4 linked regions of the Arabidopsis thaliana genome follow. The protein of the gene in region 3 interacts with the protein of the main gene of each other region in a pairwise test. Each region holds a gene or a part of one and is shown on either strand. Other genes may lie near its edges. The genes, in order: AT4G22250, RFI2, AT4G32295 and MYB84.

Evidence for each region.
Region 1: the proteins of AT4G32295 (region 3) and AT4G22250 interact in a two-hybrid assay, tested with the Arabidopsis thaliana proteins (one large-scale study listed by BioGRID).
Region 2: the proteins of AT4G32295 (region 3) and RFI2 interact in a two-hybrid assay, tested with the Arabidopsis thaliana proteins (one large-scale study listed by BioGRID).
Region 4: the proteins of AT4G32295 (region 3) and MYB84 interact in a two-hybrid assay, tested with the Arabidopsis thaliana proteins (one large-scale study listed by BioGRID).

The regions. Positions count from the first base shown.
Region 1 is NC_003075.7:11,764,914-11,772,447, reverse strand, and holds AT4G22250 (RING/U-box superfamily protein), read left to right. Parts: upstream 1-3,884; 5' UTR 3,885-4,118; coding exon 4,119-4,763; 3' UTR 4,764-4,993; downstream 4,994-7,534. Other genes in the region: IM (Alternative oxidase family protein), read left to right, coding at 98-246, 378-567, 701-794, 1,177-1,292, 1,380-1,488, 1,580-1,648, 1,816-1,887, 1,989-2,036 and 1 more; AT4G22240 (Plastid-lipid associated protein PAP / fibrillin family protein), read left to right, coding at 5,221-5,642, 5,763-5,958, 6,044-6,358.
Region 2 is NC_003071.7:19,549,992-19,558,590, forward strand, and holds RFI2 (RING/U-box superfamily protein), read right to left. Parts: upstream 4,657-8,599; 5' UTR 4,361-4,656; coding exon 4,168-4,360; intron 3,795-4,167; coding exon 3,622-3,794; intron 3,501-3,621; coding exon 3,442-3,500; intron 3,335-3,441; coding exon 3,309-3,334; intron 3,220-3,308; coding exon 2,931-3,219; coding exon of another isoform or gene 2,852-2,930; coding exon 2,515-2,851; 3' UTR 2,323-2,514; downstream 1-2,322. Other genes in the region: AT2G47680 (zinc finger (CCCH type) helicase family protein), read right to left, coding at 1-35, 178-355, 721-880; AT2G47690 (NADH-ubiquinone oxidoreductase-like protein), read left to right, coding at 1,272-1,526, 1,960-2,061; AT2G47710 (Adenine nucleotide alpha hydrolases-like superfamily protein), read right to left, coding at 5,054-5,141, 5,226-5,347, 5,585-5,679, 5,782-5,965; AT2G47720 (uncharacterized protein), read left to right, coding at 6,633-6,759, 7,057-7,148; GSTF8 (glutathione S-transferase phi 8), read left to right, coding at 8,222-8,515. UniProt on the Arabidopsis thaliana protein: Mediates phytochrome (phyA and phyB)-controlled seedling deetiolation responses such as hypocotyl elongation in response to red and far-red light. Required for light-induced expression of LHCB3 and CHALCONE SYNTHASE (CHS).
Region 3 is NC_003075.7:15,589,455-15,597,786, reverse strand, and holds AT4G32295 (histone acetyltransferase), read right to left. Parts: upstream 4,900-8,332; 5' UTR 4,828-4,899; coding exon 4,727-4,827; exon of another isoform or gene 4,620-4,726; coding exon 4,505-4,619; exon of another isoform or gene 4,287-4,504; coding exon 4,172-4,286; intron 4,093-4,171; coding exon 3,707-4,092; 3' UTR 3,232-3,706; downstream 1-3,231. Other genes in the region: AT4G32290 (Core-2/I-branching beta-1,6-N-acetylglucosaminyltransferase family protein), read left to right, coding at 6,794-7,948.
Region 4 is NC_003074.8:18,423,917-18,432,087, forward strand, and holds MYB84 (myb domain protein 84), read left to right. Parts: upstream 1-3,818; 5' UTR 3,819-4,024; coding exon 4,025-4,160; intron 4,161-4,295; coding exon 4,296-4,425; intron 4,426-4,517; coding exon 4,518-5,184; 3' UTR 5,185-5,365; downstream 5,366-8,171. Other genes in the region: BCAT3 (branched-chain aminotransferase 3), read left to right, coding at 47-226, 332-463, 555-653, 731-847, 1,039-1,134, 1,237-1,349, 1,440-1,557. UniProt on the Arabidopsis thaliana protein: Transcription activator. Positively regulates axillary meristems (AMs) formation and development, especially during inflorescence.

The sequences.
Region 1 (7,534 bases), 3.8 Mb from region 3:
AAAACCCGCAAAATTTCTCCATTTCTACCAAAAATATCCAACTTTTACTTTTCTTTCCTGTGAAATTATCTGCTCAAATCTTTGGTTCCTGACGGAGATGGCGGCGATTTCAGGCATCTCCTCTGGTACGTTGACGATTTCACGGCCTTTGGTTACTCTTCGACGCTCTAGAGCCGCCGTTTCGTACAGCTCCTCTCACCGATTGCTTCATCATCTTCCTCTCTCTTCTCGTCGTCTGCTATTAAGGTGTGCCTAGCTACAGCTAATATTTAATTGATTTGTTCACACGTGATTATGAAAAGGATTTGAATTTTGCTGTACTTTTGTTTCGTCCATTTCTAGTTTGCTGAAAATTGGAACTTTTTTGAAAACTTCAGGAACAATCATCGAGTCCAAGCAACGATTTTGCAAGACGATGAAGAGAAAGTGGTGGTGGAGGAATCGTTTAAAGCCGAGACTTCTACTGGTACAGAACCACTTGAGGAGCCAAATATGAGTTCTTCTTCAACTAGTGCTTTTGAGACATGGATCATCAAGCTTGAGCAAGGAGTGAATGTTTTCCTTACAGTAAGGTTTTATAACTCTTTTATTTACCTGAAACGTTATGTCTTACTAGAAATATAGATTTTTTGGTTGTGTTATTTTACCGGAAGTTATTTCATGTCTTCTGATTGTTGTCTTGTTTTCGTTTTCTCCGCAGGACTCGGTTATTAAGATACTTGACACTTTGTATCGTGACCGAACATATGCAAGGTTCTTTGTTCTTGAGACAATTGCTAGAGTGCCTTATTTTGGTAAGTGCATCTATTTGTAATTGTAGTTTCAGTTCGTTATAATATTTGCAAGAAACATTGAGCAGAGCATTAAGAGCTAGTCATTAGGTTTTGTATTCTTCAGAAGACAGTAAGATTGTGAACATCACTTGAGATGTGTGCAGAAGAAGAACAATGACGAAATAGTTGTGTTTGAGGAATATGTACTCTTTCTTATCTCATTAGAAGCATAGTTCAACTCTTAACAACAAAAGGCGATTCAGTCATCGAGATATTGGATTTGTTGAGAATCGAATCTTGTTTTTTTTAGTGTGTTTATCACTAATTATGGATCTGGATACCAAATGAAAAGTTGTTCCGAGGCTAGAACATAATGTTTGTTTCTTCTATATGCTCCTTGCAGCGTTTATGTCTGTGCTACATATGTATGAGACCTTTGGTTGGTGGAGGAGAGCAGATTATTTGAAAGTACACTTTGCTGAGAGCTGGAATGAAATGCATCACTTGCTCATAATGGAAGTAAGAACCAAAATGTTACTTCTCTACAAGTTTCATACTCTTTACTCACATAGTTAGTAATAGTAAAACAAATGTTTCTAATCACAGGAATTGGGTGGAAATTCTTGGTGGTTTGATCGTTTTCTGGCTCAGCACATAGCAACCTTCTACTACTTCATGACAGTGTTCTTGTATATCTTAAGCCCTAGAATGGCATGTAAGTTTCCTTTCCGCGTAACTTCTAGAAAGTAGCTGAATAAATTGCTTCTGGTCTACATGACTTCGTTAACCTTGTGTCACCTATGCAGATCACTTTTCGGAATGTGTGGAGAGTCATGCATATGAGACTTATGATAAATTTCTCAAGGCCAGTGGAGGTTGGTTACCAATGGTTTTTTCTTCTTTCTCCACCATTCTGTGTACCATTTACATTAGAACTAAAGTTGTTAATGGAGTTATTGCTTTGAAATATTACACAAAATTCTTCAACGATCTTTACATTCTGAATTGTTGTGCTTCATTTTTTTTTGGTTTCCCTAAACAGAGGAGTTGAAGAATATGCCTGCACCGGATATCGCAGTAAAATACTATACGGGAGGTGACTTGTACTTATTTGGTGAGTTTGTCTTTCCAGGAATTATCAATATCCTCCAGAGTTGTAGAGATGTTTTTACCTATGATTAGTAGTCTTTTAAACTGGCCCTGTATTGTCTGCAGATGAGTTCCAAACATCAAGAACTCCCAATACTCGAAGACCAGTAATAGGTAGCAAATCTATTTCATATCCGTTTAGTTCTTTCCATCTCTGATTCCGTCGAACCACAAAATGCTAAAAAAAAGTTTATGATTTATCCATGGTTATGATTCTGCGCTCTATAAATGACTGAGATTCTGTCTTATGTTTGTATGGAGGAAGCATTATTCACAGTTTGTGACTTACTTTGATGTTAAAATAAGAATCTATATAACGTTTTTGTTGTTTTGTGATTACGGTTGGGCAGAAAATCTATACGATGTGTTTGTGAACATAAGAGATGATGAAGCAGAACACTGCAAGACAATGAGAGCTTGTCAGACTCTAGGCAGTCTGCGTTCTCCACACTCCATTTTAGAAGATGATGATACTGAAGAAGAATCAGGGTGTGTTGTTCCTGAGGAGGCTCATTGCGAAGGTATTGTAGACTGCCTCAAGAAATCCATTACAAGTTAATAAATTAGAAAGTAAACTAAAAAAGATTATTTGTATCAGCTCATGAACAATAGATATAATCCCATATACTTGGGAATAAAGGAATAATGTGAAATTCCCATCGTTGTGCTAGTGTGTGAGAGAATCAAATACCCTAATGATGTAAATGTACTTTGATGAGCTTAAGTCGTTGTAGACCATTTTATCCATACTACTAGCCTTTGTGGTTGCATTGTCGGTTTCTTCAATTCTTATTTCACAGGAGTAAAAAAAATGTTTAAAAGTACAAAATCATTGAATGTATCATTCTCTCAAAAAGCATATTGGTATTAGCGTTTAGAATCTCTATATCCCACACTTTTATTTTTATTGGTTTTGTTGGGGAGAGTGTGGCGCAAAGACGACGTCGTCTATGCGAACATTTCACGTGGGAAAAGCCTTGATTCATGCGCCTTCTTTAATTTTTCTTCTTTTTTTTTTTTTTTTTTTGTCTCTTCTTTGCCTTTCACTTTTTAAAATGATTTTCCGCGGGTTTAATAACAAAAATGTTTTCCCGCCAGAAAGGTTTTACCAAAAAACCATGTTCCGGTTATAGCACAGGTAAGAGAATTCATCAGTCTAGTATAATTAGCAGTAATCAAATTCGAATACTTTGATCGTCGCTTTTATTTCAGAGTTAGCGTTACATTAATAGTACCTTTATTCGATTGATGATTTGTTTAATCTTTAATAGGGTTTGAACTCCGATGGAGGACCTTTTTTGTTGGTAATATTCCCTTCGTTTCACAATATAAGTTGTTTTAACTAAAAATACGTATATTAAGAATATTTATTTTTAAAATGTTCAACCAATTATAAAAAAAACTGTAGAATATAAATAATCATAAAGTATTAAAATAATATATAATTTGCATAGAAACTTGAAAACAACTTATATTATAAAACAAAAAATTTGGTATAAAACAACTTATATTATGAAACGGAGGGAGTATAAACTTAAGTACTAATTCGATTTTGTTTCTATTCGAGACCTTGAAGACTTTTTTATTTAATTTTAAAACTAAGTCGTACAGTTACAGAAACAGCATTAAATTTTTCCTCTTAAGTAAATTTATTTTTTCTCTTTCTATCAGAAATTCAGAAGAACTAACATTATAGTTGCCCCCATTGCGTACACTGTACATCATTTCTCGGTAAATTACACATAATTATAAGTTGATTAACCTTTTAAGTTTTAAACAATGATGTAAGTAACTTATTAAAAATTGGTTTTTAAAAATTGAAAGTTATATACTCAAGTTGGAAAAATATTTTACAAATATACTCGATTCCACTACTACTGTAATTTTGTGTGGAATACCAGTCAAACAGAATCGTTATAACTGTTAAAAATTAGTAAAACTGTATAAAGTAATTTTAATTCGCGGGAAATCAATATTCGGAAGCAACTTTAACAAAAAAAATAAAGAAATGTGAAGAGAAAAAAAAAACTCTGAAAACTTCCTTTATAATGTCATCATCACTGCGAGACCCAAAGATCTAAACAGTTTCTCTCTCTCCCTCACAGGGCTCTCTCATGGCGGAGCTAATCTGTCTATTTCACTGGTGATTCTGTTTCACTATCTGAGAATTTGTTTAGAGTTTCCGTTACCGAGTCGATGATGAGTGAACTCGATCTCGGAACGAGTCAGAGGATGACGGAAACACACCGCACGACGACGACGTTTCTTGATTTGCTCCGACGACAGATGAGCGGTCACGATCTCACCAGAAGGAAACGGACGTTAAAAGAACGGTTGAGATTCAAATGCATCGGATGCTGTGGTCCAACCTGGAATCTCCGTCTAACTAACAACACCACTCTTCACAGTCCAACCTCAAGAGACGACGAAATCGAAGAGTTACAAATTGAAACCGGACTCGTTCTCGAATCGGATCATGGATCGGGTACGGGTATGAATCTCGCGACAGCGTTAGAAGCGGAGAGGTATAACCGTGGAGAATCGACGGAGGCGGAGGCAGATATGACGCCGAGGAGAGTTTCGTTGATGAGATTGTTGGAAGAGACGGCGGAGAAAATCGTTGATGACGACGGGAAAGAAACGGAGATATTAACGGCGTCTATTGGGACGTTAACGGGTAATGATTCGGTGTGTTGCGTGTGTATGGGAAGAAAGAAAGGCGCTGCGTTTATTCCATGTGGTCATACTTTTTGCAGAGTGTGCTCTAGAGAATTGTGGCTGAACCGTGGATCGTGTCCTCTTTGTAACCGTCCGATCATTGAGATACTCGATATTTTCTGAAAACGATCGGACGGCTAAAAGTTCTCGATCCACGTGAGTAAGTGAGGTGATCCCTAGATACGTTTCCAAAGTTTTAACTACGGTTTGTGTACTTTGTACGTTTCTTTTGGTTATTGAAGAAGATGATGTAAATGCAAAAAAGAATACAAGAGGTTTTTTGTTCACGAGGCCCATTTAGTCTATTCAAGCCCAGTAAACCGTTATTTTGGATTTTATCTAGCCTAAACAATGCTCGCCTCACACCGTCGAGTGGATTCTTGGCCGTTGATCTTGTCTCTCACGTGGCAGTATCGTAGTCGAATGTACATGATCTATGTGGAATAGTCGATATTATCCCTCTTGGTGTGAGTTTGGTAGTTGATGAAAGCAAAACATTTACGTAACAATGTCTATAAAATCAGTACAGGTCTATTCTTGTTCACTAGCTTCGAAATTTTAGTCGAAGAAACAAAAAAAAATGGCGACGGTACAATTGTCCACCCAATTTAGCTGCCAAACCAGAGTTTCAATCTCACCGAACTCTAAATCTATCTCCAAGCCTCCGTTTCTGGTACCGGTGACCTCAATTATTCACCGCCCGATGATCTCCACCGGAGGAATCGCTGTTTCCCCCCGTAGAGTTTTCAAAGTCCGAGCCACAGATACGGGAGAGATAGGATCAGCTCTATTGGCGGCGGAGGAAGCAATTGAAGACGTGGAAGAGACGGAGCGGCTAAAGAGATCGCTCGTGGATTCGTTGTACGGAACAGATCGAGGTTTAAGCGCATCGAGCGAAACCAGAGCTGAAATCGGAGATCTAATCACACAGCTCGAGTCTAAGAACCCTACTCCAGCTCCGACGGAAGCTCTTTTCCTTCTCAACGGCAAATGGATCCTCGCGTAAGTTTTTTTCCGGTGAAAACTTTCTCTTGTAGTCCTGTAGATAGCATCATTCGTAGGATTCTGGATTCAAATGGTAGATCTCGTGCTGCTTTTGATTTGGTTAAACCTCTTTTGCAGCTACACATCGTTCGTGAATTTGTTCCCGTTGCTATCACGAGGAATCGTACCGTTAATAAAAGTCGATGAGATCTCTCAAACCATTGATTCAGATAACTTCACCGTCCAGAACTCTGTTCGTTTCGCTGGTCCTTTAGGTACAAACTCGATTAGCACCAACGCTAAATTCGAAATCCGAAGCCCTAAACGCGTCCAGGTAAATTGACCATTCATCGACCATGATCTGATATCAACATCTTGAAACGTTTTCAGTAATGTTTTGGATTTCATTTTTCTTGCAGATTAAGTTTGAGCAAGGCGTAATTGGGACGCCTCAGCTAACGGATTCTATTGAGATACCGGAATATGTAGAGGTTCTTGGTCAAAAGATTGATCTTAACCCGATCAGAGGGTTACTTACCTCGGTGCAAGACACAGCCTCGTCTGTGGCTAGAACCATATCAAGCCAACCACCGTTGAAATTCTCTTTGCCGGCGGACAATGCGCAGTCTTGGCTACTCACGACTTATCTAGACAAAGACATTCGGATCTCTAGAGGAGACGGTGGAAGTGTCTTTGTGCTTATCAAAGAAGGAAGCCCTCTCTTGAATCCTTGAACTTGGTCAAAATATATGTCTCTCTCTTGTCGTTGTGTTAAGTGAGACAAATATATAGTGTGGTTGTAGGTTTACTTCTTAATCGTTGTTATTAACTCGATGATAAGGAATATAATGTTTTTAACTACTACAGAACATCTCGTCTATGGCCTATGAAATGTGTCTCAGATTTTCACAAAATTCAAGTGTTTTAGAATTTCATTCTCTTCTGTTTGATTTAGAAAGTAAACTATGTACCGATGCAAGAGTTACATGAGAATTATCCCGGCAACGTCGGGTCTTTCGATAAGAATCGAGATGATGACTGTCATTTTGTTGTCTAATTGGTTCACTCTGTGCTTGATGCCTATCATTTTTTTTTTGAGGGACTCAGTCACTGGAAATGGTTCTATTAGTATGGTATGGGATACTTGTTAGTATAGTACTCGAGGTTTCTAGCATATGCCATAGAGTTTCTCAATATCTGAAGCCCTATTTTGAATGTGTTTGTTCTTTCTGTAATTTATTTAGAGACCATCAGGTAAAGGAAAAACTCAATTCAGACAAGAACATAAGAAACCTAAATTGACCAAATTTCTCATATAACTGAAAGTTTGAAACTGTGTTTTGTTATGTACAGTTTGGTGGAGGGTTTGATGCGGAGAGCATGAATCAGAGCCAAAACTGAAAGTGGAGGAGACAATAATAATGATAACAATGAAGAATAATCTGTAAACTGAGTTTTATTACTTTCTTTTTCTTCTATGTCTCTCTTTATCATTGTAGCACATATTTGCTATATAGGATTTGAATGGTTGCAACGGTTAAGGCGGACAAATTCGTTTGCGGTTTGAACTGTTTTTTATTTATCATTCATATTTGTATAGGTGCGAATTTAAAAAAGAAAAAAAAAACCACTGCAGATTAACTACGGACTGTTTTTACATACAAATATAATTAGTTCGTAACGGTTTATTGCCCATTTTAAAAATAGAGCGGACTAAATCGCTGACGTATTTGTCCGCTCTAACTACCGTTAGTAATAATATAGTTTGTTGTCAAAAATACATTCTTTTGTTTAGGTTTGCAGATGATTTTTTTTATTTTCTATTACTATATTTTAGTCTTTTAGATGATAAATTCGCAATAAATTTGTAATCTGCCAAACTACTGAAAAAAGAGAAAATAATTGTGGTT
Region 2 (8,599 bases), on a different chromosome or scaffold from region 3:
ACAGAACTCCAGCAGTTTTGAACAGAATTTTCGACCTGCATGCAACAGGATAATTGCATAAAAGTCATCAATAAGGGGGAAAAAGCCAAATATTGTCCTGAAAACTCGGACACAGTAGAAGAAACTGAAAGGAGATATTGTTCTATAAGTCAAGAAGATGAAGATAATGATAGTTACCCTTCGGTCAAAATCTTAGAATGCCCAATGTGGTAACCAATTTCTCCACCTAAATCGGAGTTGCGAGATTTAGCAACCATCTTAGCAACAGCTACAACCGCAAATCTCCTAGGCTGTGTACACAAAATGGGAGCCATGTTTGCTTCCAGAAGGAACTGTGGAACTTGTGAACTCTTCCCTGAAGCAAAGAAGGACAAGTAAGTAACCACACTACGTATGAGATGAGTCGAAAATCCAGCTATCCATTACAATCACAACAGTTCAAAGGCGCAGGGAAGCTAAATATGGCCCAACTTGTACTATTTCCGTTTAACGCGTTAAGATAGAAACGAATCAAATGGACTATCCACTCACAGAAAACATTCAAAATCTGGTGTCATACAGGAAGAAACCCCAACGGAGCATTTCTGTAATCAAAATGACGAAGACGACAAAACAAAAACAAAAACCCCAACGGAAATGCAGATTACTAACTAGAGTAAGTCGTCTCGGAACGAAGGAAGAAAAATAGAATAAGAGAAAGAAGAAGGCGAGCGCAGGTACCGCATCCAGGCTCGCCGACGATGAGAGTGACGCGATTCTCGAGGATTTTGTCGATGATTCTCCTTTTCATCGCCATAATCGGAAGCGAAGCGAAGTTGGAGGAGGGTAAAGGTAACGATTCAGAAGAGCTGGAAGACGAAGTCGGCGAAGAAACCGCCATTGTTGTCGTACGCGGAGCACTGTCTCTCTTCCTCTACACACAGAGTCTAGTCCAGTCTCTGGTATTTCTAATACTGCCAATCACATCCTTCCTCTCTACGCTTTTAGGGGGGTTTTAGGGGAGCGTCGATCAGGTGCGACGAGCGTACGTTTAGCTCGCTCGTTGATCTCTCAAGTCTAATAAGTTGACTAGGTTTGACTAGTCAAAATGTGTGCGGGTGTATACACACACTGGAGAGCTTGCCGCGAATTACCTAGGTCCCACTAAGGAAAGGACATATATATATCATGGGCAAAAAAGTGCCGCCAATCAAAACACTTGAAAAAAAGCAGGAAAAAAACTTACAAATAGAACCGGCCCACTCATAGCCCAGTAATAAAAAAGTCCATTAATGGATATCTCGGGTCATCCAAAAACCCGAACCCGAACCATTTTCGATGAAGTTGACGAACCTGTCTGGTTTTGTTGCGTTCTTCCGATTTGGGTTGGAGAGGAAATGGCGTCGGGATGGGGAATAACGGGAAACAAAGGGAGATGCTACGATTTCTGGATGGATTTCAGTGAATGTATGTCTCACTGCAGAGAGCCCAAAGATTGTACCCTTCTTCGTGAAGATTACCTCGAGTGTCTCCACCATTCCAAAGAGGTAGGTACCCACTTCTTTTTTCCGGTGATATTGTTTGAAGAATTTCATTGATTTGATGGTTCTGATGTTCGCCACTGTTTCCGGCTAGATCAGTGTGATTGTGATGTCTAGATCACTTAGTTGTCGAAATTCCAAAAATCCTAGATCAGGTCGAGCAATTGGGAAATGAGTCCCATGCCTTTGTTGATTGGCCATTTTCGGAATCCTCAGCTGCAGAATCAAGATGCCATTGAAAGATCATGTTCTCTTGTTTAAGATAGGATGTATCGATTAGGCGTTTCTGGAACTAAATCATCTCTGTACATGTTACAACTGTTTCTTCTGCAATTACACGGCTCTCTTAGAACATTACGATTGACACCAGTGGTTTCTTTACTTTGAATGAAGATGCTGTAAGTTTAAGTTTTTATGTGTTGTGTACCTGTTGTTGCAGTTTCAAAGAAGGAACAGGATATACAAGGAGGAGCAGCGTAAACTAAGAGCAGCTTCGAGGAAAGGTGAAGAAGCCGGAGATGGGACTCACAACCATCACTAGTCTCAACAATCCTCCTTCAAGCTTCATCCGATTCCAGAGAAGAATAATAAAAGGTTCATGGAAGATTTTGTATCTTGGAATCTCTAAACGCTTTGATTGTTTTTCAGTTTTCAATTTTATCCAATCATGTTCTGCTTTCTTTTTATGTTAAATCGTCTCTTTGAGACGTATACTTTTCCACCTGAATTATGGACATGTGGATTGTGGATCATTTACTTCTTCACTATTACTCCATCCAACCAGGAACAATGGCAACATTTTGTCGATAACTTGTGTTTAATTAATTATAACAATTGTTCTTGGAAAGCTCACAATGTACATTGGAAACCAGTTATAGTTACATCATAAACAAGTTTTGATCGATCAAACAAGTCCCCAGTTTTCTTTTATACATTGATCATTAAGCCTGATAGAATTCTCCCAGGCGACTGTAGAGTTCTGACACAACTTCTCTCAGAAGTGTCTATGCCACAAGCTAGGGATCGTGCGATGATTCGATGGGACAGGGAAATGTGGGAACCAATCTCTCTCCCATGCATGAATTTGATCGGTTTCTGGTTCATGGTGTCCACCTGGATAAATGAAGAATCCAACGTTCTGATCTGGCATTGGTGGGGGAGGTGGCGGCGGCGGTAATCCCCTTCTTGTCATGGAGATGAGAGGTGATGCGAGAGTGGGACCATTGGCATGATGTTGTTGCCTCTGATGATTATAAGCATGATGCTGTTCACGCATTTGGGTGCTGCTTCCTTGGTAACTGTTAATTGCTGGTGAGGACCTTTGATTAGACCTACAATGCCCAATTCCAAAAGAATATTGTAAAACACTCTGCAAGAAGTTGAGAGCAATAGGGAGTTTGAGAAGCTAACCGGTGACTAAAAAGAAATGGATGCGCATAAGGTAGGCCTCGTGCTGCTGAAGAGTCAACTTCACCATCAACCACATGAGCAGCGGGTAGTGAAAACGATGGGGAATGGTGATGATACTGGGGGGCAACAGGAAGCTGGTGAAAGTGATCGTTAGAGTGGCTGTTCCAGGGATGATCATCTGTGCTGTTATTGTCGCTAGTTCTCGGGGTAGCGGCTGGGCCAGGTCCAACATATGCAAGATACGAATGATTCACAGCAGCGGCGTGATGTCCATGGAACTCAGTATGATCTAAGGAAGAAATATGGGTTTTGACATTATAAACGGATTGCTAGACAAAATGAAATGATTATATACAGAACAATCAGCGTCTAACTTACATGTAGTGGTTGCAGGTTCCAGTTCCCTGAAACACAGAGCAAAAGTCAATTCTAGCTTTCGCGTTTGAAGGATCAAAAGCCTTAGAAAAGAGAGATAATAGCAAAAACCATGGTAAAGGTGTTGTAGGCTTACTCGAAAGAAGCTGCTGCTTGAGAGAGTTCACCAAACGGGCACCAATGGACCCGATATTGCTGCAAACCCCGTAAAAATGTCAGGATAAGCGATCTCTCATAAGGAGGTTATATGATAAAAGCACAGTTCTCATGTACACGAAAAGAAAGCATATCGTTGCACAAAGTAGTGAGCTTTTACCATTTCCGGATAGCTTAAACCGTACAAGTCTTCTTCAGGGATCCAATCTTCCATGGAAAACTCTGGAAAGGGGCGAGTAGAACCGTTTGCATACAACCACTGACCCTTTTCGACATTGCGACAGTTAGGGCATTGCATGGCTCCTTTCATGTTAAATGCTGATCCAATGCAATCTGCAAGAAACCAAAAAACAAGCTGCTAAAGGGAAAGCCGAAAATAGCAACAAATTCAGCAGCCAGATAATAGAACTAGCAAGCCTCATTCTATATCTACACAAGAGAAGAAACCGATTCACAAGTTACGACACACATTTGTCAGAACTCGATCATTTCTAGGATCAACCAACTGCAGAGTCGTGGCAATCTAAGCTTGTAAACAAAGCAAGGGATTAGGAATCCATCTATATTCTCAAATTCATTCAATTATCGTCCAAATCTACCATCAGATAATTGCACAAAAGCTTGTACAAGCAAAAAGCCATCGGATCATCAAACTGTGATGGAGGGAACGCAAAATGGTAAGAGATGGAGGAAGGGAATGAAATACCCAAATGGAACTGGTGACCACATTGGAGCTTAGCCTTGGATCTGGTACCATCATCGAGCACCGATTCGAGGCAAATCGAGCACGAGACTTCGACAGGAGACGAGGAATCCTCCGGGTTCCCGCGTTTTCCAGGGTCACATCCACCAGCAATTCGGAGATCATCATCGCAACCCGAATCTTTAGCTCCGGCCATATCTTCACCAGCAGGCCAAATCGGAGGGAACCAACGAAAATTTTCGTTTTTCGAAAGAACAAAAAAAAAGAAAAGAAAGGATTGTCAAACAAAAATCAATGAGAAACCATGTCTCGCTATCGCTATCTGTCTCTCCGAGTTCGTCTGCCTTTTGGAACGCCGATGCGGTAAATCTATCCTTCCTCTTCCTCTCTCTCTCTCTCTCTCTCTCGTCCGACCTGTTAGAGATGACGTGGTTCAAAACCGGACAATGACATTGGACTCTCCCTTTTCTTTTCTTTCCTCTCCCATTGTGGATAATTTTTTATTATTATTTTATTACTTTAGTTTTGGATAGATGATCATCAAACCATCCATCCATCTGAACCAACAACCAAACTATAAATTTGTTCATTTAAATCATTAATCTCTATTTAGTTGATTTGTTTTCTTCTCTAGTCTCTTTCATATGAAGTTTATTATAACTTTCACATCCATTTTGTTATGAGAAAGATTAGCATATTATAACACACGAATATTGATTGTCTAAGGATACCAAAACATTGTATGTAGTAAACAATTACACATATAGATGCAAATGTATATTGTCTTGAATCGTTGTTTCACATCAAGCTAATATTATTTCACTTTATTCTTCTGAATTAGAAGACTATGCAGAGACTTTGCTTTGACCGAGTAGCCTTCCCTTAGGTTTCAGACCTTGATCTTAGGCTTCTTCACGATCATCACCGAGCAATGAGCATGATGAGCGCAGTAGTCACTCGTACTCCCGAGAACCGCCCTGCCACACAAACCGACAAGTGAATCAGAATGGGTGTATAGTTGAAAGATTGATCATAAGAATTAAGGCTGAATGAAATAATACCTCTTGATAGCTCCATATCCATGGCTTCCCACAACAAGAATAGAAGCATGATGCTTATCTACAACTTCACATAGGATATTCCTTGCATCACCTTCGAAAACTTCGATCACCGCGCCATGAACCTACACAACAAACCTAGGAATGATGATTGAAAAGAAGAAGATAGTTGCTAACCAAAGATAGATAGTTACTATAAGAAAAACCAGTGCTACTTAGCTTGAAGCTCTTAAATGTGCTAGAGATTCACATTCACATTACCAAACTCATCTAATAGAGTCCAATACAACACATGATGACGATTATAAAATCCAAGAAACACATAAAACGAATTTGAATGTTTGATAATAGCAAGATCGTACCGATCTGCTCTGACAAATTGCTTTGGCTTTCTCGACAACCTTAGCAGCGGTATGCTTCAGATCAGCATCAACATAAGGTACAACCTCCGCAGTTCCTAAAACACACAGATTAACAAAACCTAAATGATCTCTCCCCATCGCTGCCCAAAACAGAACCCCTAGAAGAGTAGATTCGAGAGTGAAAGCAAAGAGCGTACCGGGACCAGCGAGACCAACGGCGGAGACGGCGTTAGGTTTGGCGTGGACGATGAAGAGCTTAAAAGGATAATTGGGAGCGTAAGGAGCGAAGAAACGATCGAGCGTCCACTCCAAGGCGTAAGTGCTCTGCTCGCTGTCGTCAACTCCGACGACCATCACCGATTTCCCATCTCCGGTGGCCATGACTCTGACGTTGTTCGCCGGCGTGAAGAAAACGCGCTCTTGTGTTTGTGGTAGAAAGAAGCCTAGAAGAATCCTCCAAAGTGTTTGCACAGAAAAAGAGAGTTTTGGTATCTTCTTCTTCTATTATTTAATTTCTTTAAATAAAAAGAAAAGAGGAATGTGATACTTTGATTTGATGACGTGGCTGGTCCTCATTTCTTTATGCCTTTCCATTAGTAAATTTCCCAATATTTAAAGTTACCCACAGATTTTAAATAAGAAGAACCCACAGATTTTACACAAAATTTATTCTAATTTGAATATTACCCATAAAACAAAGTACATAAAAGGATTTTGCAGGTTAACAGTTATTAGCTTTTTAGTAACAAACTGATATGAATTGGTTTGATAACTTTCGATTTTACTTGGAAATTAACTATTACAAGAAAAATCTAATTTCAAATAGTGGAATGATTTGAGTTGGGTAAAATCCGGCTCAGATGATAACAATTACAAAATAAAAATGAGACGGCCGGCTGTAGAATAATATGACGACGTGAAGCAAAAGCAGGAGTGCGACAGAAACCTCTCTAACCAAATTGCTTTTAGTTATATTCTTCTTCGTCTTGACGCTACTCTTTACCTTTTTTTATCTGATTTCAGATTTCTCCAGAATCTTCAGATTCCCATGGCCACTGTTCATGTTGTCGGTCTGAAAATCAATTCTGGATCTCCAGGGAAGGACACATCCCGAAAGGCACCTGATGCAATTCATGCTGCTTTATCACCGTCATCATCTCTATCATTACTCAGAGGTACATATACCTTAAACCCCAAACCAGTTTCTCCGTAGCATTTTGAGACGTCATCATTCTTATCTATCATCAAACCTTGCTCTTTGTCCATATAGGAGTGTTACCAAAGTATTTCAGCTCAGAGTTGTCAGTGGCTCAGTTCCGGTTGGTCGAAGGATCTTAATACATAGTGGCATTTGGACATGAGAAGAACACAGATTCTTGGGATGGATGGGAGGTAAGAGAACCATACCCTAACCTTAATAATGTCCTACAAGTCGGATCAGCAGCTTTGTTTGATTTTTGGGTGTTTTGCAGCTTCTACAAAGGCCAGTTTTGATCCAGTACACGGAGGAGAGATGTCTCAGCTCGAGTATCATAACTGTCTGAAGCCGCCTTCTGTGTTTTGAAACAACAAGTCAGCATTCTCTTACTTCCTTTATATATATTAATCTTGTTGAGATTCTGGATTTTAGGCTTGTGTCTTTGGTAACATATGTGGTTTCCGGTTAGTTATGGAATTGTCGGTCAATCTCGAGGCAAGAAGAGAGAGTATGTATATATGTAAATGTTGAACCACTAATCACTTAATGATTATTTAGTTAATTACGTTGGATCTCATATTGAGAATACTATTTTGCATATATATTTTTCTGAAAAAAACAACAAAAAGAAAGGTCAACATTACAAGAGTAAAATTGCATATGAAGAGAGTGATAATGAAAGTTCAAGTGTTTGTTTCTGAATTCTTGACATGTATATAATCACCATATAACTGTTTCCAAATTGTAGATGGTAATGCAAAAATCTGATGAGGAGGGAGATGGTTCTGTTTCCAGCAACTAGATTTAGTTATAACATAAGGGGATTGATTATTGTTATTGTTATTGATCCTTCTTCTCCTGTTGAATTGGATTGAGAGTTAGTTGGTCAAAAGGTGTTATGGGTTTTAGAAAATTAATAAAAACAGGTGGGCTTTGTCTGTACATGTCCTTAAATTATTTGTTTTGGGAGTAGTTTAATATCGAATGATACGTTTACACGTAAAAAGTCTTTTCTTTTGAGTCGTCGTCTCAGGAAAGATGAGATTCGTTTCTAGGAGAGGTTGACTTTTTCAATCCACACTTATAACTCTAGAATCTTATGTCATTGATGACGACCTCCTCTACACTTTTGGATTTGTATGTTTACAAAGGAAGGAAGGATTACCTTAGAACAGTTTATGTGATGTTTGTGTCTTTCTATTTTTATTCAATGAAATTTCTTTACATGTACATAGATTAGCTATATTGACATGAATCTAACTGATTTTTTTGTTTGCAAAATAACAAATTAGTGAGGGGAATTTTGTTTCAGTCAATAAATCCGTGATTTCTATATGTTAGATGGATAACAATGCAATAAATAAAGGGGACCCAATAAAAAAAAAGGAAAGAGAGACGTGCCTGTGGGTAGTGGGTGGTGGTGAGAAGATTCTGGAAAAATGGGAGCAATTCAAGCTCGTCTTCCCTTGTTCCTTTCTCCCCCTTCTATAAAACACCATACCTTCCTTCATTCTTCTTCATCCAATTCCAATTTCAAAATCAGATCCAACAAATCTTCTTCTTCTTCTTCTTCTTCGATCATCATGGCCAGTATCAAGGTTCACGGAGTTCCCATGTCCACCGCCACAATGCGCGTCCTCGCTACTCTTTACGAGAAAGATCTCCAGTTCGAGCTCATCCCCGTCGATATGAGAGCCGGTGCCCACAAGCAAGAGGCCCACCTTGCCCTCAACGTAACCCCTTTCTCCCTCTCTCTCTTTACGAACAAACAAAACTGAAAACACTTTATGTTTGGTTTTTCCAATTATCTGACAATG
Region 3 (8,332 bases):
ATGCTTATATAGTTTAATTTAAAATAATTGATATTGATTGTTCAAATGTAAAAAAATGTAGTTGGGAGTTAACTTGGTATTAATGACCCGCAATCATCTACGCCCATTCAAATCTTCAATTATAAATTATTCAGGAATTAGTTGGCGAATCGCCAAGTGTATTCCATATTATAATTAAAATAAAACTGTGAAAGCATTAAACGATTAAAAAAAAACAATTAAATAATTATAAATAATAAAGAATATTAGTAAACAGCAAGGCAATAGTAACGGATCAGACTGATTCGTCGTGGCCTAAACAGTGACAGCGCAAGAGGTCTCAGTCTCACTACGAACGTCCCTAAACCTTAAGTGCAACTTCCTCAAACATGCATCTTCCAATATTTATAAGTACATTACACAATATTTACACATTTATTTGTATGTCCATTGTCTATATATATACTACATGTAACTACGTTCTCACCTTGTTCTATAAGTCTTTTTCTTTATAATAATATAAGTCATTTTACTTATAACCTATAAGCTCTACTGATTTTGAATGTTTTTTGTCTCAATGATTTTCAGTATATCTATATATATATATATACATATATGTGGGACTTTTTAATAATTTTTTTTTTCAAATACATCTTGATATATATATATTCCTTCGAGAACTTATCTGAATTATACAAAAACATTATCTATTCCTTATATATTTAAATCTATTTTGAAACATTGAAGTTGTAAGTTCTTACGTATTCATTAATAAGATACTTAAGTAGAGTTGTTTCAAAATGAAAACTTCAATTCTCAAGCAAAAATGATCTATAAATGTTTCAATAAGATAATTCATATGAAATAAGCAAGACTTTGCTATATCAAAGGAAGTTTAATTTTTTGTTCCACTTCAAAAATTAAAGAGAGTATAAGTTCAGTTCACACATTGTCTATTCGACGATTCCTTTCCACACGAATAAGAAATTAAAGGAAAGAAAGAGCTGGTCTAAAGATCGGCAAAGCAGTTGATGGAAATTATTGAAGAATAATGTTATGAGAAGCTAGGGATGTCAAAATGGGTCAAAATTCATGAGTTAACTCAATTCAACTCAATCCATGAACCCTAATGAGTTGAAATTTTTGACTCAAATGAGTTGATGGGTCAAATGAGTTATTTGGTCAATTGGTTTGATGAGTAAAATGAGTTGGGTTGTAATGGTTAATGGTTTCAATGGTTTACCCAATTAACCCATCAAATTTTGTAAAATTGAATTAAACCAACTAAAATCTCTAAACCAATGTCAATTTAAGTTTAACCAACACATCTAAACCAATCTAATAAAATCAATATTTTTCCAAATTTCTTAAATATACAAGCGATGAATTGAAAAAAGTAAACTCGTAATTTTTCCACCAAAAAACATAATCCCGTGATTTTCCCGCCAAAAACGTAAATCCGTGATTTTTCCGCAAAAAACGTAAACCCGTGATTTTTCCGCCAAAAACGAAAATCCATGATTTTCCCGCCAAAAACGAAAACCCGTGATTTTCCCGTCAAAAACGAAAACCCGTGATTTTCCCGCCAAAAACGAAAATCCGTGATTTTTCCGCCAAAAACAAAAACCTGTGATTTTCCCGCCAAAAACGAAAACACGTGATTTTCCCGCCAAAAACGTAAATCCGTAAACGGTGAAATCTGTAAATATTCTAAGTTTGATGATAATGAATTAATAATTATTAATAATGATAATTATTTATTATTGTTTTATAATAATAATTAATTAAATTATTATTTAAATGGGTTAACCCATTTAACAACTCAACCCATCAAATTAAATGAGTTATGGGTTGACCCAATTCATTTAACAAAATGAGTTGGGTCAACCCATAACTCATTTGATTATGAGTTGAGTTGAGTTGGGTTACCTATTTTGACACCTCTATAAGAAGCTTTGCTTACTTTTTAGAATAACATTTGGATATATGATTCCTAATATTTAACTACTATTTGTATACTTAACTTTGTATATCCGTTGTAAGAAAACATGTTTTATATAAAAAAATACAAACTGTTATAGAATTAACATCTGTATTTCAAACTCGATTATTATAATTAAAAGCATGGACAATACTAATAAACCAAATCTCCTATGTTGACGAATATAAAATATTACAACGTCGTTATTTCATGTTACATCTAGATATGTATAACATGTATCATAATACAACATGATTTCATGAATGCATTATAAATTATTACGTATGTAGGCATGTGTGTTTACAAGAATCAGCAAATCTTATCTTAACATATCATTTAACAAAGTAAAAATATTATCTTAGCATATCGTGACATATATAGTCCGCATGTCGCTTCCACTACAATCATACGGATGATCTCTTTTGATATCATCATGATTCATGAAAGCCGTCAACGTATGACTAAGATTACATAATTAATCAATAATGGTCCAAGAAAAAATAATAATTATGTTATTATTATATCGTAACAAAACAGAATCCATGAGAACGGTCCTTTCGTGTCAAACCAATACGTAGAGAGTCAATTGGTTAGTGATTTAATAATTGGAACTACTTGGATCATCTTTTAGGTAAAGACATAAATTATAATATTTTGTTTCTTGTACATATATGTATAATAATGGACCAGGTTGGGTAATGAGAAAGAAAAGCTTTACTCATAATCCAATGAGAAATTACTTTTGTGAAAAAATTATTAAACTACAAAAAAAGTTGGCCCTTTTTAAAATCTTACTTTGCCAATTTTCAACAATGGACTGCTTGGAAAAATGCTGGTAAGTGTGTTTCGTTCCCACAGGTTGATAAGATTCGTATTAGGTGAAAACTGAGAATTGACGAGGTCTTCCAGGTTGTCAAGGAATTAGTTTAATTATGCTTTTGAAATTGAAATAGGTCCAATGGTTTATAACACACAATAAAATATCTTCTCTTCCTTTTTAACTACTAATATCTGCAAGAGCATTTGTATATCTACACAAAAGATTTGGTTGTTAAGATAGTTTTTGCATCTAAGATTTGTCCTCTTTGATTCAAATTCGAGTCTAATGTCGAACAGCTGGATCGTATGAAATCATATAATAATCAAGAATTATATAGTTAATTAATGTACTTAGAATCTCATGTTGATTATGATGATTAACGTCCAAGTTCACTCGGTTTTTCTGTAGAACAGACGATTTCAAAAATCTTCCACAAAGTTGTTACAAGTGTGTCTTATCTTCATAAAAATGCAAACGAAACTTTAAGTTCGATCCGTTTTACCGAATGTTCTTCAGCCTACTTGCAACTAAATGGGCCTAAATTGAGTTGGCTCAAAAAAGCCCATTTCATAAGGAGCCTGCTAGAGTCATCATCGGTCGCCGAAGAATCAGATGGAGTCTAACTAAAGTCTTTCGATGGAAAATCCAATGTAGGGCATTTAATATGCTTGTTGTGAAAACAGAGATGTGGAATGGATATTTCTCGAACAGTGTTGCAATGTAAAAATACATTCGTGAAGTCTGATGATTCGAGATTGATGCAGGTAGAAGAAAACGACTTCATCTCCTGTTTTGTTACTTCGTCTCTCTATTTACATGTTCACAAACCTAAACCTAGGGTCTAGAGAGGAGACTAAAAGGCCTAACTAAGCACACATTCTTCTAACACAAGACTTGCTAATCAAAACCCAATCTTGCTCTCCTTTTCAGTTGTTATTGTTGCTGCTTATCTTACTTCGTTTTTGAGTAGGAGGTCCAAGAGGACCTAAGCGCAGAGATAGATCACATTCACACCCACCAAAGGTAATGCCATTTGTTGCGTCAATGAGACTCGCCGGTCTACTGTTCTTGGACTTACACGAGTCACTGATTGGCCGGAATGAATAGCATAAAGGGTAGGCAGAGTACTTGGAGACAGGGCAATTCTCTTGTGCTACTGCAAGATTCTTTGGAGCAAAGTTGTTTGGTTTCATGAATACTTGGGACAACATGTTGTCCAAGTTAGTTGAGTCTTGGCTAAGATAACATCTCGGGTTAATGTTCCGTTGGCTCCTTGAAGCTCTCCTTGGTGTGCACCCCAAATGCAATGCAGCTACATAATAAACAAGACTTGCTCATTGATCTGAGCCAATAATCCCCGAAAGCTCGAATATACAGATTGTATTGTATACCTTCAATACAAGGCTGAAGAAATTCCCCTGTTTCGGTGGTCTCATCAAGTCGTATGATTGTGTTGATGGCGTCGTTTGTACGGTCTAAAAGGGTCTTCATGTCCATATACTCAGCCTAACATCAAACCCACAAGAAGTATATAAAATATTCATATTCCAAATGAACACATTAGCTACAAATCCACTCTATCAACTCCATAAAATCCAAGGTTTAGTACAGATTACCAGAGACTATCAGTCACACTGTTCAAAGAGGGCAATAAAAAGCAAAAAATGAAAATCGAAATACTATTTAGAAACAATCCTTTGTAATTAAAATGTTGGAAGAAAAACCTCAGAATTGGCTTTGGAATACATGATTTCTTCAGCTCTCAAGACAACAACAGGGAGCTTCTCTTGCCATTCTGTGTTTTTCCTGGTGGATTGGCTGTGAATCTCACAAACAATCCTACAAATAGTTCAAAGAACAATTGAGCTAAAGAAAGACATGCACACACACAAACCTATAGATACACAGATAGATATCCAAAGTGAGAGAGAGATGATGATGATGACCTGAAAATCTCTTGGATGAGCAAACCCCTCATGGGTTGGTGTCTGTCACTATGCCAAGCTCTTCTGATACAGTCGTACGGTCTTGGCCCTGGCCTCGGCATCTTCCACCACTTCCTTTTCTATGAGAGAGAGAGAGAGAGAGAAAAAAAGACAAAGTGAGATTGTTGTTCTTCACTAGTTTTCACTTCTCAATAATTTATTTGAGTGTGGTGGGGGAGAGAGGTAGTCCTGTCCAACTGGTCCGGTCCGGTCCGGTCCGGTTTAGTCTGCCTAAACTTATCATGGTCCGGCCTACTCTATGTAGAGTTGCAGTCCAATAATTTACTAAAATATAACTAAAAACTCTACCATTCACCAAATTATTTAGGAGTTTTAGGCAACTGTTGGAGTGATTTTGAACTGTCAAATTTAAATAAGACACGTGGATAACTTGCGTCAAATCACCCAGTCCAGTGAGGTCTCAATTGATTGCATGTCTTGTGAGGAAAAAAGAAGAACGACTTAAAAAGCATAATAAGTATGATTTTTCTCTACAAATCACAAAAGAAGATCGTATGATTGAAAGTAATAATAAAGGAAACAAAATGAAATCTTGTGAATTGCTTTCGTACCGCGTCTAATCTTTTGCCATAATTTTTCGCTGACACTGAAACATTCAAGATGACGTCAATCTCTTTATTATTAAAAGGGAAATACAAATTAAAATTTTGTTTAATTTCGCCTTAATTTTGATTTTAATTTTGGATTTTGTTCTTTGCTATTCAAAATCATTATGGTAATTTGGTCTTAACAATCTACTTAACTTTATATGATCCGATTCAATCTAAACCGTTCAATAAAATTAATTCCGTTCAACAAAAATAAGTAAAATAATTTTATTTTTTTTATCTTCACTTTAAAGACATATAATTATAAATAACATAATTCATATAGTCTTTACTTTTACTAAAATTACATACACATAACTAATTAATACATATTTTAATACATTCCTTTTATTACTAAATAACAAAAAAAAAAAAAATCCCAATTATTATTTAGTTATATTTAATTAAAAAGTTTTATATTTATAAGTTTAAAATATCAAATTCATTCAAAAATTTAGTATAAGAATCAAATAAACCGATTGTCCGCGAACTCCTAGTAAATAAATAAAAAATCAGTGAATTGACAAACTAAAATAAAATCTCGTTGCTGACAAATAAAGTAAAGGTCTAAAACATTACCGAAGACCCATCGTCCTAAAACTTTTCAAGTCTGAACTCAAAAACTCAAAATGAAAACCACCTTAAGGTTTCTCGTCGTTAGTGAAAGGCCCAAAAACTCAGATTTTTAAAGGCCCAAATCTATTGCATGTCGACCACGTGGACCACCGTACAGAGAAACTCGTATCCAACAAAGCTGTTGCCTTCGAGACGGAAACGTTTCCTAAAACGGATCGATTACGAAAATTCACGCAGCCACGTGATGTCATTAGAAAGCTTACCATCCAACGGTTTCCATCAATCCACTTGTAAGACTAAGAACCCTCCACGTAAATCGAATATTTTTATGACTCCTTCCTTTAATGTTAGCTTTGAACACACTAATCAAACGAATAAATTCTTTATACATACACAATCACATTATGTGTGGCCTATGATTTAGTCAGATTTATGACAAACTGATAAAGTACAAGAAATGATAACCAAATAGAATTCAATTCATATATACTCTTTTCGGATAAACAGTACAGTGATCAAAATTATTAGAATTAGTGGCCAAATAAAACTAAGAACGTTATGTATATTAAATGACAACTCGAGAGAAGACGAATACTTTTCTATATAAAGATGTAAAATTCCAAATATGAAATGCCATTGAATTATATATTTCTATAATTAGTGTACTCGAATTAAATATATAATTTCTTAACGTAATAATAAGATACAACAAGTTGCACCAAATCCCACTCTCTCACTCTAGAAACCAAATGTCGTTGATAATAATAGAACACTTTCTTTCTCTCTCTAAAAAGCAAAAGTAGTCTAGTCACTGATTTCTTCTAATCCTCCGGTGGAGTGAGAGATGATATCTCCGACGTTGTTTCCTCTCCTCTGCGCTTTATTTCTATGTCTTCCAGTGGCTGTTATCTTCACAGTCCAGCGAGAACTCACCTGCGTTATCTCGCCGGAGTTTGGTTTCCGCTCTCTTTCCGTCTTCTCTCTTTACTCTCGAAATGTCCCCGACTCTTCTTCTTCTTCTCCGGCGGTTCGGATTCGACAGCCGATTCCCAAAGAAGACGACCCTCTTCTTCGACTATCTTCTCGGGTTAACCCGAATCTACCTCCCGGTTCGACCCGGAAAATAGCTTTTATGTACTTAACGACGTCGCCTCTTCCGTTCGCGCCTCTTTGGGAGATGTTCTTCGACGGAATCTCCAAGAATCTTTACAATGTCTACGTTCACGCGGATCCGACCCGAGAATACGACCCGCCGTTCTCCGGCGTGTTCTTGAACCGGGTCATTCACTCTAAACCCTCGCTGAGACACACTCCCACTCTAACTGCGGCGGCGCGTAGACTACTAGCACACGCGCTTCTCGACGATCCATTGAATTACATGTTTGCGGTTATATCACCTTCATGCGTACCAATTCGCTCCTTTGACTTCACTTACAAGACATTAGTCTCGTCGCGCAAGAGCTTCATCGAGATACTTAAAGACGAGCCGTGGCAGTTCGATAGGTGGACGGCGATTGGGAGACACGCGATGCTTCCGGAGGTGAAGCTCGAGGAGTTTCGGATCGGGTCTCAGTTTTGGGTTTTGAAACGGAGACACGCGCGTGTGGTGGCGCGTGATCGGCGTATATGGGTGAAGTTTAACCAGACGTGCGTGCGGGAAGACTCGTGTTATCCTGAAGAAAGTTACTTTCCTACCCTTCTTAATATGCGGGATCCACGTGGATGTGTCCCCGCCACGCTTACTCACGTGGACTGGACTGTTAACGACGGTGGTCACCCGAGGATGTACGAGCCGGAGGAAGTCGTGCCTGAGCTGGTCTTGCGGCTTAGAAAGACTAGACCAAGATATGGTGAGGATGGAATCAACGGTTCGGAGTGGTCTAAGGTTGAGCGGATGGATCCGTTTCTGTTTGCTAGGAAGTTTTCACCGCAGGCTCTTGAGCCGTTGCTGGGTATGGCTCGAACCGTCTTGTTCAATGACTCAGCCGGTGGTGTGTGAATGGTTTCTCTAATGGTATTGTTGTAAATTCAGTTTTAGTTTTAGTTTTTTTTTTTTTCTTTTTTGTGGGGAAATAATAATTGTAATTTAAATGGGTAGCTGGGAAAAACAAAAACCCGAGTATACCATTATCGTGAGTAAAAAAGTAAACTCGTCCTACTCGAATCTCATCATAATCTTCATATTAGCAAATGGAACCAATTCATTACCAAATAGCCACATTGAAACCTTACATTGGATACGAGAAGATATTTAATGGACATTTGACAAAAGTAGAGATATTTATTGGACTATGAATGGAAAGTGATGTGGGTTTTGAGTTCTGACTATACACTGGGTTTATGTAAATGTACACTGTAGATAGAGTGAATAAAGAAACTAGGA
Region 4 (8,171 bases), on a different chromosome or scaffold from region 3:
GTGCAATTTAGGATCACATGAGTCTTATTAGTGTATGTTCTTCTAGGGATTGTTTGAAGGGCTAAAAGCTTACAGAAAGAAAGATGGTAATAACATCCTCCTCTTTCGTCCTGAGGAGAATGCAAAGCGTATGAGAAATGGTGCTGAGAGGATGTGTATGCCTGCTCCAACCGTTGAGCAGTTTGTAGAAGCTGTGACAGAAACTGTACTAGCAAACAAACGTTGGGTAATGAATCACGCAGTTTTTTTTGTCTCCCGATATGCAGAGGAAATTATCTAGATATTTGTTTGCTGTTATGAATTTAACTTGTGTTTGGTGTCTTGTTTTTAGGTTCCACCACCAGGTAAAGGTTCCTTATATGTTAGACCATTGCTAATGGGAACAGGAGCTGTTCTTGGTCTTGCGCCTGCACCAGAATATACTTTCATTATCTATGTTTCGCCTGTTGGGAACTACTTCAAGGTCTTTCAGAGTTACTTCGATCTATTCCAACTATCTAAGATTTGTTGTATGTTTCTCTGAATGATGATACGGATTTATATGATGATGTCAGGAAGGTGTGGCACCTATCAATTTGATTGTGGAGAATGAATTTCACCGTGCAACTCCTGGTGGTACCGGAGGTGTTAAAACCATAGGCAATTATGCTGCAGTAAGTAAAAGCTTATTTCACTTATTGATTTTATTGGACCAGCTTTCGTAACTCACACATACAAGTTATTTATTTAGGTACTGAAGGCACAGTCAATTGCGAAAGCTAAAGGATATTCCGATGTTTTGTACCTTGATTGCATTTACAAAAGATATCTTGAGGAGGTCTCGTCTTGCAATATTTTCATCGTGAAGGTAAATAAAAATCAATCTCTCGGAATCTGATGATGCCTTGTAGAGTCTATAAGATGTCTCTCTTCATAAGACGTAGGAGATGATGAGATTGAGACTCTGGCACCATGTTTTTTTGGGGGCATTCTTACAAACATATCAAGATACTGATTCTCTTACATAATGATTTTTTAACCAACACTTTTCTTTGCCAGGACAATGTGATATCTACTCCTGAAATAAAAGGAACCATTTTACCCGGTATTACTCGAAAAAGTATGATAGACGTGGCTCGAACACAAGGGTTTCAGGTGACCTCTTCCCCTTCTTTAAATTCCCAACATCTTTAAAGTGGATCATAAGTACTATTATTGGCTTCTGATCACAGTGCATGTTTATACGGTATTGTTCAGGTGGAGGAACGGAATGTGACAGTGGATGAATTGTTAGAAGCAGACGAGGTTTTCTGCACAGGAACCGCCGTGGTTGTCTCTCCTGTTGGAAGCGTCACTTACAAAGGCAAAAGGTAAAACGTTTTTTCTTTGTATCCCAATTTAAGTGAAAACCAAACCTACCAAGTGGTAAAGCTTTCCCCTTTTTCCGAATACACACACAGAGTGTCTTACGGAGAAGGTACCTTCGGAACTGTGTCGAAGCAACTCTACACCGTTCTGACAAGCTTGCAGATGGGTCTGATTGAAGACAACATGAAATGGACTGTGAATCTTAGTTAAGCCAGGCGAATGCATTGCATCAATTCGGCTGCTTGGTTTTGCTTTCTTTTCTTTGGTCTGTGGTTCTGATTCGTGAAACTATGAGTTGGATTGTTTAGAATCTGGTTGATCTAGAACTTAGCTGGTTCAAGATCATTAGATGTTGTTGCATCATACCAATAATATTATCTTTAGATCTCTGTTTCTGATTAGATGGTTACATCCAATTATTTCTCTAAAGTCTGAGACATCATTGATATCTAACAATCAAAAACTAAAAAGTGAAGTATTAACATTTTAATCAGATTCAAACCAGAACTTATCAGTCATCAAAAATGTTGGCAAATAACAAATCAAACTTAAGTTTTTGGATGGAGAAAGCAAGCTAGATTCGAATCTCTAAGAAGCGTGGACTTGGACTTGTTTACGACCTGAAAAGATGTCATGATTATCTCATGATTACGAGATAATAACATGTCTTATCTACTAAACTAATCTAAAAAGTAGTGAGGATGACTTGAAACTTAAGTCTTATATGAATTATCTTTAAATATAGAAAAAGAAAGGAGATAGAGAGGTGTGTTTTTCATGTGAACAACTTTTTTTTACCTTTAGAGTACTTCCAGAAGACTTATTGGGTCCTTAATAAAAGTAGACCAAATTATTGAAGAGCTAAAAAAAAATGCCTACTCAAAATATCCAAACCTCTTCTTTTAGCCTTTTGTTTTTTTCAATATTCATACTAATGTAAACTACAATCATTGTATCATTCTATAATCATATGAATTTTTTGTCAACACCATGCATTATGCTAGTTTAAATTTAGGTGATGATATAAAGATATTTTAAGTACAAATCAATAGGGGCGATGTTCTTATGTCTTTATCTAACTTTATGAATTTGTGTTTTATATATTATGAAAAATTGGAAAAGAAGAGATGGCCTACGCTCAAGACCAATTCCTACCAATGGGCAATGGTGTTGAAATCTGAACAAAAAAATTTCCTTTCTTTAACGTTAGCTTTAAAGTTCAAAAAACTTTATTTACTTTTTCAGTGATAATTCTGTATAAAATAACATATAACAATGAGGAAAAAACTCAATAATTTGAATCGCTTATGACTTTATTTCTCCAAGTGCTTGACTTTTAAAACCCTAATGTCCAATCTCAACTAAAGTCAACCTTTTTCGTTCGTCTAGAAGAGTCAGTCATTAAGTTTCAATTGAAGTATACAGTAAATTATTAGTACTTTTTATTTTATTTTAACCACAGTTCATTGGCTGTATGAGATTTCTGTTCAAGAAAACATATAAATCGAAACCAAAGCAAAAGACATTATTTGCTTCGGTTTCTTCTACTCAAGCTCATTTTTAGTAAAACTAAATTGTATTTTCATTTTCTTAAAAAGTTAATTGTTTTTTTTGTAAAATCAGTTTTACCAAATTGGACACAATAATGAATATATGTCTATGTCTAGTTTTTTTTAGCTCAGAATATATCTTATGTGAATAGAATCGTCTATCAGATATTTTTGTGATGCAGATAGAACTTACCGTTATAGAATCATTTGTAGATTGTTCATCGTGATTGTTAAGATTAGATTCCCATTTGTAATATAACAGAAACTCGAAAAGTACTTATATTAAGTATTAACGATGTATCATGTGACCAAAATAGAAAATACTACGTAATGATATGATTATTAAGCGAGTGTGTAGGTAATTCAAATATTTCAATTAATCAATCTTTGATATCACTCTTTAGAGTAATGTATTATCTTTCTTATTGTTTTACCCTGGGATTAATAAGTTTACCGGATCCGGAGTAGAATTTCTTCGGTTTGGCAATTTTGTTCACCTACCATAACGAACTTTTACCCTTATACTTAGTTTCAATCTACTTTTGGTGCATCCTTTCATTTTCAACTGCAAAGAAGTAGTTAAAAGATCCAATACATAATATATTTAATTTATCATAAGTAACTTAGTGTAAAGAAAGACTAAAGTACTTTTTAAAATATGTATTTGTATTTCCCGATGTGAAAGAAAAGAAAATTGAATTTGCACATATCAATAATATTAGCTAGGAAAAAACTTGTGAGAAATTTCTTTGACGACTTGCGTGTGCAATAGTCTTCCTTATCTTCTCTACCATTTCTTAATTCCACTATTGTATAGTATTTACTTATGTTGAATTAATAAATTAAAACATTTAAATTTCCCTAAAGTTACTTTTTGATTTTTGATTTTCTATTTTTATTACAACTTTCCTACTTTTTGACATCTTTTCTTACAAAGACTTTTTGACATCTCCCCCTCCAGCTATTATATAGTCTCCTTTTTTCTTTTCTGCATTCACATAATATTTCCCCTATATAGTTTACACAACATCATACCCACCAACATATATAATCTTGATCATAGAGAGATAAACAGAGGCCGCTATCAAGAACAAGACTAAGAACAAGACTTCACTAGGAGTACAAGTATGGGAAGAGCACCGTGTTGTGACAAAGCAAACGTGAAGAAAGGGCCTTGGTCTCCTGAGGAAGATGCAAAACTCAAATCTTACATTGAAAATAGTGGCACCGGAGGCAATTGGATCGCTTTGCCTCAAAAGATTGGTATTAATAAATTTATAGTCACTCTTTTTCATATAAATTTGATAATTCTCTCTTGATCTATCTCTTTTTTTGTGAAGAAGTATTGATAACTAAAGATGCTTTTTGTTTATATGATTATTTCTTGGTTGTTTTAAGGTTTAAAGAGATGTGGAAAGAGTTGCAGGCTGAGGTGGCTTAACTATCTTAGACCAAACATCAAACATGGTGGCTTCTCTGAGGAAGAAGAAAACATCATTTGTAGCCTTTACCTTACAATTGGTAGCAGGTACTATTCATATACGTTATTCATGTATATATCGTTAAAATATCATGTGGAAACTCTGAAATATAGTTATGTGATGATGTCTATAATTAAAGGTGGTCTATAATCGCTGCTCAATTGCCGGGACGAACAGACAACGATATAAAAAACTATTGGAACACGAGGCTCAAGAAGAAACTCATTAACAAACAACGCAAGGAGCTTCAAGAAGCTTGTATGGAGCAGCAAGAGATGATGGTGATGATGAAGAGACAACACCAACAACAACAAATCCAAACTTCTTTTATGATGAGACAAGACCAAACAATGTTCACATGGCCACTACATCATCATAATGTTCAAGTTCCAGCTCTTTTCATGAATCAAACCAACTCGTTTTGCGACCAAGAAGATGTTAAGCCAGTGCTCATCAAGAACATGGTCAAGATCGAAGATCAAGAACTGGAGAAAACAAACCCTCATCATCATCAAGATTCAATGACAAACGCTTTTGATCATCTCTCTTTCTCTCAACTCTTGTTAGATCCTAATCATAACCACTTAGGATCAGGCGAGGGTTTCTCCATGAACTCTATCTTGAGCGCCAACACAAACTCTCCATTGCTTAATACAAGTAATGATAATCAGTGGTTCGGGAATTTCCAGGCCGAAACCGTAAACTTGTTCTCAGGAGCCTCCACAAGTACTTCGGCAGATCAAAGCACTATAAGTTGGGAAGACATAAGCTCTCTTGTTTATTCTGATTCAAAGCAATTTTTTTAATTATAATAATATATTATTCTTAAGATGAAACGTACATCATTATTATTAATTGGGGGTACGTAACGTATATATGGAATAACGATCTAGTTTGTTTAAATTTATTGATATCTCATATATCTGGATTTGAAATTAACTCTAATATGCAGAAGTATGAACTCATATGCGAAAGATCCTAGCGAAGTAATCACATTTAGATAAACAAAATTTGTTATTGTTACTTTTTTTTTTTTTTTTAAAGTAAGAACGTGTAATATGCATGTATGTATATATGTATGGATGCCTATGTGAAAAGAGTTAACACTTAAGAGTATATTGTGCATGATGTGTTACGTTTCCATTATGTATACAATATGATAATACATAAATTTACACGCATAATATACCTATTGGGCGCAAAGTTATACACATTTTAAAATGGGAAAATATTAATGGTGCTTTTGGGGCCTTGGCATATGAGCTGATTATATATGGTCGGATCCATATGTACGTGGTTGGATGTATTGATTGTATATATGCTTCTTTAATTGATTGTATGTTCATCCTACTTTTTCGAATAATTTATGTTTACCTCAATGTCGGATTGTGCGAAGCATTTAGCTGGAAACCATTGATGTTAATAATAAGTAAGAATTAACATAGATGGATTTATAAGGATATAAGAATTAATACCTAACCATTTGACCAATGAAAAGTTTGGATCACCAAATAAATGAATTGTGTGCAACTCTGAACTTCTCAAAGACATGACCTCTCTATTCCTAGCAAGTCACTAGTCTGTTTCTTATTTCCTCACAGAATCAAATGATGATGTCATACGAAAATTCTCTTTCCCTTACGAGTTTGGCACATTCGTTGCCTATTCAAAAATCAAATCAAATTTAGAAAGTCCTAAAATGACACTGTCGCTTGAAATATACGTATAAAAACTCTCGCTTCAAAAAATCTTTTGTTGATCAAACAATCCATTCAGTACTAGCTAGAAGGCTAGTTAGAAGTAGACTAGACTTCACGGTTCAATTAGATATTATCTTTGATCTTCATATATTCATGACTCATGAGATGATATAGGACAAATGAGATGATATATAGAATTATAGATAACGATTTCAAAGAGTATTACAAAAACAAATGCATCATTTTTTTCTTCTTAAGAGTATTACAAAAGTACTCTCTGAAAGACAAGAATGTTCCAAAACATTCTCTTCAAACAGCAAAATGACAAACATAATTATTCAATTTTTTTTGCCGTTAATTTAATATTCCTAAATCACTCACCAAAATTTCACTAATTAAATAGTAAATATCATATCCTTTTATCACAATCAAGAACCTTATTAAATGCTTTTTACTTGTATATATGAATGTAGCTGAAAGTTTCAAAGTACACTTCGTTATCAAAATTTCAAAATATGTCTTCCAATGAAGTCATAATCTTAAGACGCGTGGAAAAGTTCTTTTCCTAATGTACGTATCTAAGTATTTTTTTATGTAATAGTAATATATTATTAATCGTGATATAGGAAGAAAGGGACCTAGTGATGAAAATCATGCACGTAAGCCACTCGCATTAGTGATTCAGTGGATTGTAGAACGTGTCATTGGCATGCGACATAATCACCTTTGAACCATTTTTCATTTACCTACCAAAAAAACTATATTCTTTTTCAAAGTGTAAAAACGAAATGTCATAGAAATATAAAGAAAGTTTATTGTCATATAAATTTCCACATTTGCCAAAGCTAGCTACGTAAAATGCATGAAAGTAGATATCATGTGCATGTCAAATGAATCTAAAATGCAAGTAATCTTTTATAAGTATACTACTAACTAAAACATATATTAAAGAAGAGAGATCTTTATTATCTTCTTCACTTTGGTTACAGTCTTTTCAAGCTGGTTGGTCTTCTTTGTTGGATATTTGAAGTTGGAAAAAACAAAAAAGAAGAGAGAATTTTTTATTTTTAATAATTTGTAATCCTACATTATATAAGAGTAAAAAAAAACAGATGTATAGTAGAAAAACCAAACAAATCACTAAAGTTTTCTACCCTCCCGCTTTAGACGATTAAGAGTGATCAAAGAAATTTGTTTTTACTGTTAAAAACTTCTGAATAAGTAAGAAAATATCGAAAACATTGATGAGTTTGTGTCTTTTAGTTCATTAATTATTATATTAGTTATTTAAAAGACAAAAAATGACAACCAAAAGAAAACAAATTTTTATAACTTTAAAATACTCTAAACGATACAATGGTTTATTCATATACACACCAAAAGAACATTAACAAAAAATTTAAAAATTCTAACATGGCTGATTTTTTTTTTTAATAATATATCGTTAACTTTGTATTGGGTCAAGCTAAAAAGCAATAAAGAAGGAAAAGAGAATAATAACGGAGAAGAAGAAATCAAGAAACAAAAAATCAAGAATATAGGAACGAAAACTACACTACTATAAAACTAAGAGGATTAGATAAAATAATCTTAAGTAATAGATAACTAATTGTACATTCTGTCAAAACCCCTCGACGTTATGTAAACAAAGCCATATAAAACAATGATTGGCTTGGCGACATATAGCTTTACGACAACTAACAATGACTTTTATTTATTTGCTTACATACAAGTAAAAGACTTTGTCAAATAAAAATAATTAAAAGGACTTCTACAACATAATTAATTTTGATTCAATAATCCAGCCGATGTCGACACGCACTAGAAGAACGTTAAAAAAAATTCCAAAGTTTTTCTTTAAAAAAATGTCATTGTCTTAAAAGAAGGAAATCTCGACGTCAAAAAGAACTAAAAGAAATCTGTTTGTAACAGAAGATATTGACACTTTTTTATTTGTGGGAACGAAATTTTATTTTAGTTAAAAGGAGTGTGGAAATGGAATAATCCAATTGTTCTAGTGTTTGACGATTTCTTGTCATCTGCTTATGGCAAACAGAACTGAATTTTATTAAATCTGGTTCACATGATAATCA